3 linked regions of the Kluyveromyces lactis genome follow. The protein of the gene in region 1 interacts with the protein of each later gene in a pairwise test. Links are inferred from orthologs where the notes say so. Each region holds a gene or a part of one and is shown on either strand. Other genes may lie near its edges.

What was found.
Region 2: the proteins of SEC27 (region 1) and SEC28 interact in binary tests that used the Saccharomyces cerevisiae proteins (3 or more experiments, as listed by UniProt). The link is inferred for Kluyveromyces lactis from reciprocal best matches to the Saccharomyces cerevisiae genes SEC27 and SEC28.
Region 3: the proteins of SEC27 (region 1) and RET3 interact in binary tests that used the Saccharomyces cerevisiae proteins (3 or more experiments, as listed by UniProt). The link is inferred for Kluyveromyces lactis from reciprocal best matches to the Saccharomyces cerevisiae genes SEC27 and RET3.

The regions. Positions count from the first base shown.
Region 1 is NC_006038.1:168,927-174,409, reverse strand, and holds SEC27 (coatomer subunit beta'), read right to left. Parts: upstream 3,765-5,483; coding exon 3,747-3,764; intron 3,515-3,746; coding exon 860-3,514; downstream 1-859. Other genes in the region: MRM2 (21S rRNA (uridine2791-2'-O) methyltransferase), read left to right, coding at 1-700; KLLA0_B01936g (uncharacterized protein), read left to right, coding at 4,193-5,407. UniProt on the Saccharomyces cerevisiae protein: The coatomer is a cytosolic protein complex that binds to dilysine motifs and reversibly associates with Golgi non-clathrin-coated vesicles, which further mediate biosynthetic protein transport from the ER, via the Golgi up to the trans Golgi network.
Region 2 is NC_006039.1:797,788-801,708, reverse strand, and holds SEC28 (coatomer subunit epsilon), read right to left. Parts: upstream 1,890-3,921; coding exon 1,008-1,889; downstream 1-1,007. Other genes in the region: GET complex subunit GET2, read right to left, coding at 1-697; ARE2 (sterol acyltransferase), read left to right, coding at 2,500-3,921. UniProt on the Saccharomyces cerevisiae protein: The coatomer is a cytosolic protein complex that binds to dilysine motifs and reversibly associates with Golgi non-clathrin-coated vesicles, which further mediate biosynthetic protein transport from the ER, via the Golgi up to the trans Golgi network.
Region 3 is NC_006042.1:2,524,007-2,527,909, reverse strand, and holds RET3 (coatomer subunit zeta), read right to left. Parts: upstream 1,578-3,903; coding exon 1,008-1,577; downstream 1-1,007. Other genes in the region: RQC2 (Rqc2p), read left to right, coding at 1-765; TAF3 (Taf3p), read left to right, coding at 2,236-3,285; mRNA-binding protein RRP12, read right to left, coding at 3,478-3,903. UniProt on the Saccharomyces cerevisiae protein: The coatomer is a cytosolic protein complex that binds to dilysine motifs and reversibly associates with Golgi non-clathrin-coated vesicles, which further mediate biosynthetic protein transport from the ER, via the Golgi up to the trans Golgi network.

The sequences.
Region 1 (5,483 bases):
CAAATTAATGGACATTGATGATAAATACCGGTTCTTCAAACAAAATCAGAAAGTTTTAGATCTTGGGTTTGCGCCGGGTGCCTGGTCACAAGTAGCGAGGAAAAGGATCGGTTCAGGTGGAATGATCATGGGGGTTGATTTGTTACGTTGTACTCCGCCAAAGGGAGTGTATTCGTTACAGGCTAACATCCTATCGAAAAAGACTCATGAATTGATCAGACTTTGCTTTGCTCGTCATATCCAGCTAAACAAGCATGATCAATTACATAAGGATCATGGGTATCTCCAGCACATGCTAGAGGAAGAGTTAAACCATTTGAAGGAAACAGAGGAGTATAAGGAGCTATTCTCACAGACAGATATCAGTCAGAACATCGAACGATACCCGGTCGATGTTGTGCTTAGCGATATGATGGCAAACACGACAGGCATACAAAGTAAAGATCATTATATGTCGATGGACTTATGTGATGCTGCATTAATTGTAGCAATCGACCTATTAAAACCGGGAGGTTCATTCACTTGTAAATTATATGCTGGAAGCGAAGATACCCTTCTTGAAAAGAGACTTAAAAAGGTATTCAAAAAAGTCGACAGATTCAAACCCAATGCATCGAGAAATGAATCAAAAGAACTGTATTTCGTGGCTCGCGGGAAGAAAACTGATATAGATAAATTGAAGGTGTTTTTAGAGGAATAATTGTACTTGTAAATATTTTAAACAGTTTGATAGAATCTTCAAGACTCACGGATTGTAATCGTTTAGTTCATGTTAATATACTAGCATATTAATACATTATTTACGGATTATGAATTTATCGTAGTTCATTTTTTCTTTTAGGAGTTGGGGAACGTACAGTTATTCCGCCTTTGCAGCGGGTTTATCATCGTCTTTTGAACCTTGAGGCTCTTCAGATGAATCCTTGAATGCTTCTTCATCTTCATCTTCATCCTTATTTTCCTCGGTATCCAACGCTTTTTCTTCAACTGCGACATCCTCCTCTGACTTATGGTTTACAGGAGCCGCTTCTTTTATGCTCTCGCTTGGTGTATCTAAATCAAGTAAGGTATGTGTATTCGTTGATGGAAAACCTTCTGTCTTACCGACAACTCCAACTCTTTCAGCAATTGCGGCTTTACCGTCATTGATCAAAGTTTGCTTCCATACGTCTACTACAGTGTTGATGGATTCTGCCGATTCCCCGTATGTTAAACTTAATAGGGCAGCTTCTGGCACCCTATTAGATTTTAATAGCAAGTCCTTTGCTCCAGCTATGTCACCTGCTACCCAATAAGCATTGAAAGCTAGGTTGAACTTACCAGAAGTCTCAGCATTCTTTGCCAATGAAACCAACTCTTCCCTATTGTTGAATGAAGAATATAACAAGAAAAGGGATTCTAGATCATTTGCCTTTTCATAACATTGCAAAGCTAAAGTGAAATTGAATTTCTTTAAGGCAGCATCACCCAATTGAATCCATCTGTTCTCACTTTCCTGCTCGGACAATATTTCTTGCGCCAGTGATAGTCGGCCTAATTTAATAGCTAGATCAAACTTCTGCTCAGCGTCTGGTGAAATTTCTAAGGCATCTTCAAACAAATCTTGTCCCTCCAAAAATCTAGAGATCTTTAGCAAGTTTTCTTTTCCTTGAACATTAGGTAGTACGGATGATTTGGCCTCAGCTAGTTCGCCTCTGAGTACCAATGTCTCGAATTCCAAAACATCAATAGATAGTTCATAACCATAAACATGGATATCTTTGTCAGCCAAATAAACTTTATCATCTCTTGGCAAATAACCTAATAAGTACATCTGCTTATCGAAATGTGCAAGATTATAGATTTTACCACCAACAAAGTAGTTTAATCTATTTGTTGGGGTGGTGAAAATGAAGACATCACCAACCCACTTACCTGACGTGATACCCTCTGAAACTTCGTATAATACGTCAAACGCATCTTCTACACCATCTTCATCAATACTTCCAGCTGAAACCGCCTCATCGTAAACATCCTTATTGAACAACAGAGCGTAAGCATTAGCTTCTTCAGCAGAGTCTGTTTCATGGTCTTTGTTGATGATCATAACAAGCTCTCCATTATCTGACCAGATTATATCCTTAGCATCGACATCAATTCTTTTCACTAGATTACCTGATTCCCAATCAAAGAAATATACGAAGCCGTCAGCTTTGACACCTAATACTGAACCAGGGAAGATTTTTTCGACACCGTAATCAAGCGGAATTGACCAAGAAGATACTTGTTTGAAGTTCTTGTAGTAGGTCACTGCACCCGTTTCCGTGATTAACGCATAACTATTAGAATCTGGGCCCCATGCAAAGTCATGGCATTTGCCGAAAGCTTTGTTTCTCCATGCTAAAGCAGTGTACACAATGAATTCGTCATCACCAACAACAGTGACAAATCTACCATTTGGGGAATGCTTCAAACTTTGTGGGAAAACGTCGATCGACCCTAATTCTTTGCTTTGCAAAGGAAGGGCACCGCCTTCTTCTACCTCTTCATTACCTCTAATGATGGCAGAGAAGACGTCAGTGGCTGATGCTTTACCACCGCAATAAACTAACTTACCAACTGGATCCAAAGATAATTTTGGTTGATCATCACCTAGGGATAGAACTGTGAAACCATTGTCGAAACCCGATGCAATGTAATTACGTTTACCAGATGGATGAGTAGCGATACACCAACTTCTTTCAAGCCCGATGTTCAACGTTTTCTCTAGTTTGTATGTATTTGCATTCCAAATCTTGAGAGTTCCATCCTCGGAACCTGAGATAATGATAGGTAAAGTCGGATGGAATACAGCATATGACACGTTAGCCATATGTCCCTCTAAAGTAGCAACATTAGATTTTGTCTGGTAATCCCACACCTTGATGGTACCGTCATCGGAAGTGGTAATCAAATAAGGCTTATCTTGTAACGGGTAATAGTCGACATAATTCACACCTTTAGTTTCATGTGCTTTCAAGGTGAAATTTGGAACATCTTGACCAATCGACCAAACTTTGATAGTGTGATCCAAACAACCGGAGGCAAATTGGTTGGGGTCCTTTGGGTTGAATGCAACAGACATGACGAAGTGCTCATGACCGGTAAAGGTTTGTTGGCAGCCCCAATTCTTTTCCCAGTTCCATAACTTAATAGTCAGATCATCAGAACCTGTCAGAACGAATGGCTTCGTTGGATGCACAGCAATGGAACGGATATAATCAGGATGTGCTTCGAATTCGGTCACTTTTTCACCGGTGTTATAATTATAAACTCTTAATTTAAAGTCATCGGAACCAACAACAACCCAGTTCTTTCTTGCAATGAATCTACCAGCTCTCACTGGAGCATCACATAATGGAATAGATCTCACTTGCGTTTGCGTCTCGTAGTTCCATATCTCAATTCTTCCTGAGTACAAGGTAATTAAAACCCAAGGTTCCTCAGGATGAAAGTCAATGCCCTTAACCCTGTCAGTTCTGGCACTGAGCTTTTTCTAAAGACAAATAAAGTCACCATAGATGAAAAAAATGTTAGTAAAAGCTCTTTCTTTTAGTTGCTGATAAGGGCTGAAGAAATATAATCTGTTGAATCAAAACATAAAACATAAATGTATTGATACCAGAAAAACGCCTAAGATACTTAATATGCAATTGCTAACGTTCAACAGCGATTCTCCGTGATAAAAGCACCTCACAAATTACTCTAGTACACAATGTGTCACATACATTGATGTCAAGTTTCATTGCTAATTTCCTTCCGCTCTGTTGGGTCTCTACCTTCGATGTTTTCTTCAACTAACGTGTTAAAATCATGAATGGATCTTTATTATTCAAATTCCCCTTTCAAACATTTTTTTTTCAAAGCCGTTGATGGACATGGCATAGGACCGGGTAATGTTATTATGATATTGATGTCAGTGTCAGTGTCACATAAATAAAGCATCAACTTGAACCGTTTCGGCTCGAGAGTACTACGAGCTATATGACTTATTTCCCCTAATATTACATCAATCTTCTCCATTTTGTATTCAAAGCTAAAGTTGAAGAATATTACTAATTATTATATTTGTTCGACAAAGGGCGCGATTTAGGCTATTCAGCAGAACAACTGCTATTTGTCTTGATAGTCTCATTTTATTAGAAGCTACAGCAGTTGTGTGGTTTGTTATAGAATGAGTAAAGGTCAACTATGGTTGTTGATTCTCTTTTGTTCTGCTCTATTTTTTGATTTTGCTTACGGGAAAGCACTATACCCTGTTCATACAATTGATAAAGCTTGTGCGGTAGGTTTCAACTCTGCCAACATGAATATGAAGAAAACGTTTGAGATATGGAGTGGGGCAACGATTCCAGTAGATTCTTTGCCTGGAGATACAAAGCTCTTCACTGGATTTAAAGTACACAGGGTATTTTATTTTCACCAGCTATATAAAAGATCAGGGAAAGCTTTGAAGATAACTTATTGTAACGAGGGTAAAGTTGTCTTTGAAACTGAGAAGCAACTTACTAATGATGTAAAGGATTGGAACCAACCGTGGTGTTTTTTTGAATCTAAAGAACAGGAAAATCCCAATAATAGTTTGAAGAACTTTCATTGTTTAAAAATGGCCAGAAGAAAGAAGTATGCGATCCGTCCATTTGATGTTTTTATACCCTACACTTGGGTTGGCGGTTTGTTTTATTGTGATGTGGATATGGATGCCAAACAAACGATATTTCAATCTTTACAGAGTGATGGAATAAGTACATCAAATGCAATGGAATTTTGTTCTTTATCTAATTCGATACCAATTCAGCCATTGTATGCATCGACTTATTCTGATTCCTGGTCAGAAGTTATGGCTAAGAAATTAATCCCATTCATCACTCTCCTGTCAAAGCGAAAAACAAAGACATATGTTCCATACTTACAGACCCCGAATTTGTCTATGGCTCCGACTAACTTTAGTTTGAGCTCATATTACATGAATACAAGTATGTCCCAGATACCTGACTTCAAGAGCAAACTTTCCACAAAAGAACTTCTCATCGATTGGTATTCAAGAAGGAAATCCTCAAAAGAGTTGTCCTGGTTTCAAGAGATTGAAGTTTCAGAAAGATATCATTATGATAAAGAAGATAATTTCAAACTCACGTTGGCAACAGAAAAATTGAAAGATATTATTTCGCCTTTGCTTCAGCTTTCAACCATAGAACAGGACAAACTATCTTTACCTTGGAGGACATTGAATAAAGTGGCCACAACTAAGTTATGGAAAACTTTAAGTATTACGGATAAAATAATGGCAGCAAACCTAACACGAGTACTAGAAAAATGCTCAGTTTTCCTTAACTATTGGGATAATATGCACGTCTCAGATGAATTGTTTGAATATGTGCACCCGTAGTCAAAAATCGATAATACATTTGTTTAATACGATGAAAAGTTTATATAATATACGAGTTTAGAAACGAAACGGCACT
Region 2 (3,921 bases), on another chromosome or scaffold:
GAAGTTTCTTCAACATTTGATAGTAGATAGAGATGAATACTATTTCTAGTCCGGTAAAGATGGAGAAGAAGTTCGATCTTTCCACTATTTGGGATAACAAGTTGGAAGCTTGAAGAACAGTGGGATTGGGATGCATGATAAAGTAGACGTATGGTGCAAGAAGAGCCCATTTTATTAAAATGATGTAGGATTTCAATTTGGACACTTTGAACTTGTAATACTTCAAGACTTTCTCATCAACAAAATTAGGGAGCATCTGTGTAGCAGAAGCAGTAGTATTCGTATCGTTGTTTAGCAAAGAACTGAAAAGGTCCGGTGTACTGGCATCTGGTGATCCATTTTGGAATCCTCCACCTTGTTGTTGCATCTTAAGCAACTGTTGGAAAAGGGCAACCTCAGGATTCGTTTCAGCGGCATCAGTTTCAGAATTGTCCTTGTTACCGGGAATACTAGAAAGTAAATCTTGAATCTCTTTGGTAGACTTTTCAACTTCTTCGTCACTCACATTGGATGATTTCTTGTTACCTGACGGAGTAACTTTTGGCTCATCAAGAACAGATGTTGAAGACAAAAAGCTATTCTGCTGTTGACCAGTGATCTTGTTCAACCTGCTGGAAGCACCTCCGTTGGAAAACTTCTGTTGCCTTCTTTCCCTCAACAATTTACGTTTCTCAGCATCAGACAATTCAGTAGCCATCTTGTAAACTCCAAATTCTGTGTGAATTACAGCTCAATTCGGGGGAAACTAAAGTAGAATTAGATCGACAATCAAAATAAGAAGATCAACTCCCCTGAATATTCGAACTAAATACAACGCAGGTGCCTTGTAAAACGATACCGAGTGACTGGTTTCAAAACTAACCCTTCACATTGTATAGGATGTTTGATCAATCCGCTTTATCTTGACAGTTCCCACGAAATTGATGGGAAAAAGAACAATGTTACCCGGAAAGTATCGCCAATACCAATACTATTTGCTACTCAAGATCTATTTGATATATATAGATTTAGGCTGTGTACTTTGCCACAATTTGATCGAAAGTCTTGTTATTTTCAAGGTCGGCAACACATAGTGGGTGAGATGGTTTCAATTGTTGCAATTCCGATCTCAATTCGTTTGCATTTCCACCAGATAAGATGGTGTACGTAATCTTATTTGCAAGTAGATCAGGCTTGTACGTTTGTGCTTCTTGTTTGATATCGTAGAACTCGCTTTCTAAGAGGTCGATGATTGCTTTGGATTCAGGCAAATGCGATTGTTGGAGGTGTAAATTCAATAGGCCTAATTGAGTCTTCCAACTTGGGAAAGTTTGAGACAACTCTTCAAAGAAATAGAAATTGGATCCAGTGATCTCTTTACCCTGGTTGAAGTTGATGTATGACTCTGCAAGATTCAAAATTATTTCATCGTCGTTCGATTGCTCCTGAAGTGCTTGGAAATTTTCAAACATAGTCGAGGCAATGGTTGGTTGATTATCCAACAAAGTTATTTGGATGGCCGTTAACAGTAGTTCCGGGGTTCCTCTTGTTTCATCGGAGTCAATTCCTTCAACGGCAACCTCCAAAGCAGTTTTAAACTCGCCCTTTATAGTCAATGCACTTGCTAATAAGTTCAATGCAAATGGAGATCTGCCCGCCTTTTCAACGGTTTGTTCTAGTGCAGTGATTGAGCCTGTAGGTTTGCTTAAAAATTTATAGTAAGCCTCAAATACAGGCCCAAGTGAGCCAGAATCAGCACTACCCTCACTGAACTGGGACAATGCAATCAATGATCTATTTCTGTAGTAAGTCAACGCCTCATCTTCAGTTTTGTTAAACTTAGAAACTTCGTTCAACGCTTCTTCATAGTTACCAGTATAAAACTGCTGTTTTACAGTAAAATAGTCCATTTCTTCTGAGTTGATATTTTTTTCTCAACAAATCTGACGTCGGAAAACTTCAATTAACCGTTATCGTGTATTGAAAGCGACTTTACTGGCTCATTAACGGGTCTATCTCACACGTATCCTTTAATATTGAGAGTCCATATGCTATCTTACTTTGATCCACCATGCGAATTGTCCAAAACTGAAAAACTGACAGGATCAGGGTAATGGATGTTTTTCATTCACGTGATCTTTTTTTTTGTATTTTTCCTTTCTCGAATAATTCTCGAAGGTGTGGATCACCATATGGCGTTTATTTAAGGGATTGAGAGTATTTATCAGAAGAAATTCAGAGCCAGTTACTTTGGACGTTTAAACGATACGGGTTGGAAAAGGAAACAGATTCAGTAATTAACAGTACACTTCTTACGACCATTGGTTAATTCCGGATTTGAGATTTATATTTAAAACGTCTGAGTGAGAGAGAGAGGTTAGCAAGAATTTTTTCCTTCTTAAGACGAATCACGACTTGGCCTAGATTTATCTCAGACTAATTTCATGGTGAAGAGTCAATCCACGTTAATATATCATAAAAGATTTATTTAACTGGATCTTTAATTAAAAACCTGTCATAATGTCCGGTTCAAGTGACAGTTCACATGATACCACCGTTAAGGATATAACTGAGGATGAGCAGTTCTTGAGGATAAGAAGGCTGAACGACAACAACCATGGGAAGAGGAAGTCTTTGCATGAGGAACAGTTGGAGGATGCTGTTCTCGATGAACTTGGATCTCCGGACGTTCTTTTCAACACGGTCCAGCCTAACGACACGGTTATCTTTAAGACTAGAACCACCTCCGAACAAGGCGACAAACATCTGCATGTTTTCATGCAGAAATTGAAGGTGAAGGAAAAGAACAGATATAAGAAGGATACGAATGAAATGCAGTCCATGACACGAGATGTAGACTGGGGCTCTAGAGGTAGTATCATGGATGAGATGGTCAACAATCCGCTTAGATCTCATTTCAATGGGCCAGCAATAGACGAGAAATATTCTAGAGTAAAGGCAACAGCCAGATCAAATACGGTGAGGATAGATGACAATAATACTATTGAAATTGCAAATGAAACTATAGCAACAGACTTTTCTGGATTCTATGTCTTATTTTGGATGGCAGTTGCGTTCACCATCTGCAAAGTGACATTACAATATTACGAGGAACATGGTGATTTTTCACAGTCAATTATCTTGCGATACATGACCATGAATCTTTGGAAAGTTGCGTTATATGATATCGCAATGTACCTGACTAGTTATTTTGCATTCGTCATACAATATTTGTGCAGAAAAAATGTCATCAGTTGGAGACGTACAGGGAGAGATATTATTTCAGTTTATGAGGTGGTATTTCTATTCTCCAATATCTACTTACCAAAAAAGACCTTCCATTTCAACTGGATCGCCCAAATATTTTTATTTTTACATTCATTGGTCTATTTGATGAAGATACATTCTTATTCCTTCTATAATGGTTATTTGTGGGATATTTCATCAGAGTTGGATTATGCAACATCTACCCTAAAGAAACTGAAAAAACTCAGTTCTCCACAACCAGAACTTGATATATTGCAAAAGTCAATAGATTTTTGTGAGTTTGAGATAAGATCTCAATCATCAACGGTCAGGTTCCCATTTAATGTCTCAGTGAAGAACTTTTTCGAGTTTTCTTCGTTCCCAACGCTTGTATATCAGATAGAATACCCACGCACAAAACGTATAAGATGGTTTTACGTTTTTGAGAAATGTTGCGCGATCTTTGGTATCATCTTTGTCATGATGGTTGTTGCACAACAATTCATGCTGCCTGTTATTTTGAAAGCTAAAATTTTGGCAGATGCCAACCTCACATTATGGGAAAAGAACCTGGTATGGCCGAAGCTCTTGTTGGACTTGGCACCAGGTTTTATTATGATGTTTTTGTTGGTCTGGTATTTGATTTGGGATGCAATTTTAAACTGTGTGGCCGAATTGTCCTGTTTTGCAGACCAC
Region 3 (3,903 bases), on another chromosome or scaffold:
GAAGTGGCTTTAGCAGGAGAAGAGGCCACTGATGGGTACGAGAAACTCTCAAATAGTGATTTATCCAAAGGTGAAGAGGATTTTGATGAGAGTAAGACTATAGCTACTTCAATTGTTGAAAATATGAATACAGCGGTTCGTGGTAAGAGAGGGAAATTGAAAAAAATCCAAAAGAAGTACTTTGACCAAGATGAAGAAGAAAGATTATTGAGACTAGAAGCACTTGGAACATTAAAAGGTATTGAAAGAGAGAAGCAAAAAAAACTTGAAGAGATGGAAAGAGCCGAAAAGAGGGAGTTTAAAAAGCGGATACGTAAAAACCAAGAGCAAACTCGCATCTTGCAGTTTAACAAATCAGAAAAGGTCGAAGTTGATATTCCAAAATTTTTGAATCAATTGAAAACCGGTATTTCCAAAGATGATAAAATAGCTGACGTTATCCCTGTCTATGCCCCCTGGGCTGCTTTAACTAAAAATAAGTATAAAGTCAAAATACAGCCTGGCACTGCAAAGAAGAGCAAATCTATTAATGAAACTCTACATTACTTCTTGAATAGAACTGTCGACAGTTCGGAGTACGATAAAGACTTAGATTGGCCAAGAGAACATGAAACAATAAAGCTAATCAAAACTTTGGATGTCGTTCCTATTATTTGTTCTGATAAATTGAAGATTTCCATCCCAGGTGGAAACGACAAAGCATCCTCAGGCAGATCACATAAATCAAAGCAATCAATGGCGAAAGGTAAGAAGTCTAAAAAATGATGACAAAAAATATCAAGCAAATTCTTATCATTCAGAGATATGTTTGACCAATCGAATAGTTTTCACGCTGTCATATTAAAATCAACTAATTAGCATATAAAGTGAAAGTACTGTATTTCATATTTATATTTATCTTAGTTTCATCTTTATTAGAAGAGGCAAAGACATTCACACAGTATTTACATATCGATGGTAAACATATGTGTCTGATTATAAAAGAAATCTGGAAAATGAGGAGAAGCTTACAAGCCCTGCTGTAATCTTTCAGCCAATTTACTCTTGGCAAAGCCCCACGCGCTTAGCAAACCCTTTTCATTCAATTCTATATTCAATGGGATATCCTTTGAAGGCGGTTTCGTCACTCTAGAGGCAATTGTGGCTGGATCAGTTTCTAAGATAATACCATCATCAATCAATTCATCAATTGCTAGAACCACCATGTCATAATGTTCCTGAACACTCCTCTTGTCAATACCTGTATCCAATATCAATTCTAGGGAATCTTTGAACCCGTTGAATGCTTCTTGCAAAACAATTTCGTTTTCGTCGATTGCACCGATCAGATATATCGAAACATCGACATATTCTCTGTAAATAACTAATAGATCGTCTGATATCATAATGTCTGAATTCTGCCCATGAGTTTTAGCAAATAGGTTAGATTCGAACTCTTTTTGCTTCTTTAAGCTGGATGCAAGAGAATCTGCAGAAATTTCTTCGTGTGGTGGATGGAAGTATTTCGAGTAAAGTCTTCTTCCTTCTCCATCCAAAATCAACACAGCTTTAACTGTGTATAGAGATAAGTTAACCATGTTGTTTATGTTTTTCTTCTTGGTTACTTCCAGGGTATGCTATTCGTGTTATTCAGTACTGATGCAATGGTTTACTGTCTCAGGAGGGAAGTGCTGGTTTGGCGGTACGCGAAAATTCCAAATTTGCAGTTGACAAGATATAGGACAAATAGGAACTGCGCTCGAGAGAGGCAGAATTCAGCTCTCAACCATTGCCCATTCCTGTAATTAGAATCAGTAGCCTTCTTTGGATGTCTTGTAAAGCTGTCCATGTAAAAAGCTCCATGGCAATGAAAGCCTGTTGATATCATTGAATACGGATTTATGCTCCAGTAACGCCAAACAGCAAGTGTTTGATCGAATCTCTTATCACGTGATTTGTTTCCGGGTAATGGAAAACACAGAAGGAACTTGTAACTTTTACTGTCTGATAAGTAGGTTAGCCATGCAAATACTATACATTAACGAAAACTGTCTATTGTGGGGTTCGTTCGATGCAGAATGCAACCAGTACTGAGCTTCGAGGACACTGATTGATTTACTAAGCAGTATTTACTTTGATTTATTTATCATAAGTTAAATACCGGCCAATTGCAAAGACTTTGCAGTATTTTGTATATTCTACGCTCTAAGCATTGAGCAAGCAAAGTGTTATTGCTTTACTCAGCTCCTCACAATTATGACCACTGATGAAAGTTTTTACTTTTCGCTGCTGCGAATTTCAATGATACACCTTTTAAGGGCACATGGCTTCGATAGAGCCAAAATGGGGACAGTTAATCTTTTTACTGATTTATATGTGAGATATCTAGAACTGATGATTCAAGAAATACGGAAACTTACTCTGGATCGCCGTGATTTAGATGAAGAAGTGTCCCTTCAAGATATTACCCAAGGAATGCTCAATATCGGCGTATTTAAACCAATGAACCTACTGGATGTTTACGATGAAAACCCGTCCGTGGCAGGCGATGAAGGTATGCAACAGTTTAAAAGATGGTTACTTCAAGATCCCGCAACAACAGAAGCACGAGTTATCAGTACCCCAAGTCCAGACCTGTTGAAAGTTGGTGATAAAACTAGTAAACCATTGTCAATGATTCCGGAGTATATCAACCAGCTGAATACATCGGACAAAAAGCCTAACGATGGAGATGATGAGACAGAATTGGTGGAAGCAATGATAAACAACGGGGATATGGATGACTGGATACAATTCATGTTGACATCACAAAAATTAGAACTTGCGAAGAGGAAGTCGGGGAAACTTCCTCAAGATCTCATTTCGTTACCGTCAATTCCTGGATTAAAATACTCTAAACTAAGCCGAAGTCGACCTATCATTACCAATTCATGCATTCCAGTTGGAATCGAAATTAACGAAGATGAAGAAGGAAAAGAGGAAAGTACTGAAGACGCAGCAGAGCAAATAGTTCTGAAAAGACTCATCTCAAAGTTACCTATCGGTAACCCAAATAACAAGTTAGAAAACATAGTTGTTTCATATGAAGATGAGAATATTGACGATTTACTTGAACCCCTCCATACGGAGGAAGATCAGCAAGACTACACCGATATTGATAAAACGGATTATGATTTTGAGACCTCTGGAACGGGAGGCTTAACTTTAGGCAATGTAGTTACCACAGAGTTAGACGAAATGGAGGACATGCAAAATACATTTGAAAGAAGGGCATCTTTGGATTTTGGACACGCATACGATATATAAATATAATTTGTTTAACACAAAATTAGTTCATGTTTACGACAAAACAATCGCACTCTCACTCGATTGTTTTCAAATCAATCACATGTAACAATCTTTTGGTTCCGATTTTGTCTATTCTACTATACATCTATATACAACTATCAAATTGATAAATGGGCTAGGGCGTTGCAGTGCATATCAGGTAAAAGTGATTTATAATCTCCTCTTGTTTTTAAATCTACCATTGGATTTTTTACCAATTCTTCCCTTTTCAGCTGGTTTTGTTTTTGGTAGCTTGGTTTCCTGTTCATCATCACTGAAATCATCCTCATTGCCAGCTCTGGATCCTTTTTTGAATTTTAGTCTGTTCTTTTGACCCTTTACTGGACCTTGTTTGACAGCATCTAAGTATGCATTAACACCACTGGTAATAGCCTCTAACGGATCTTCATTGTTATTTTCTCCTCTTCTCCTATCGTTTTTCATAACCAACTTACCTTCTGCATCAAAGCTGAACACTTCATCATCGACAATCCTTCTTCTTTCATTTTTATTTGATTTTGGTCTAGTCGAGGAAATATGCGCCAATGTTTGAGAGTCCAATAAATCTAATGGGGTCTCCTTCGACTCGACAATGAA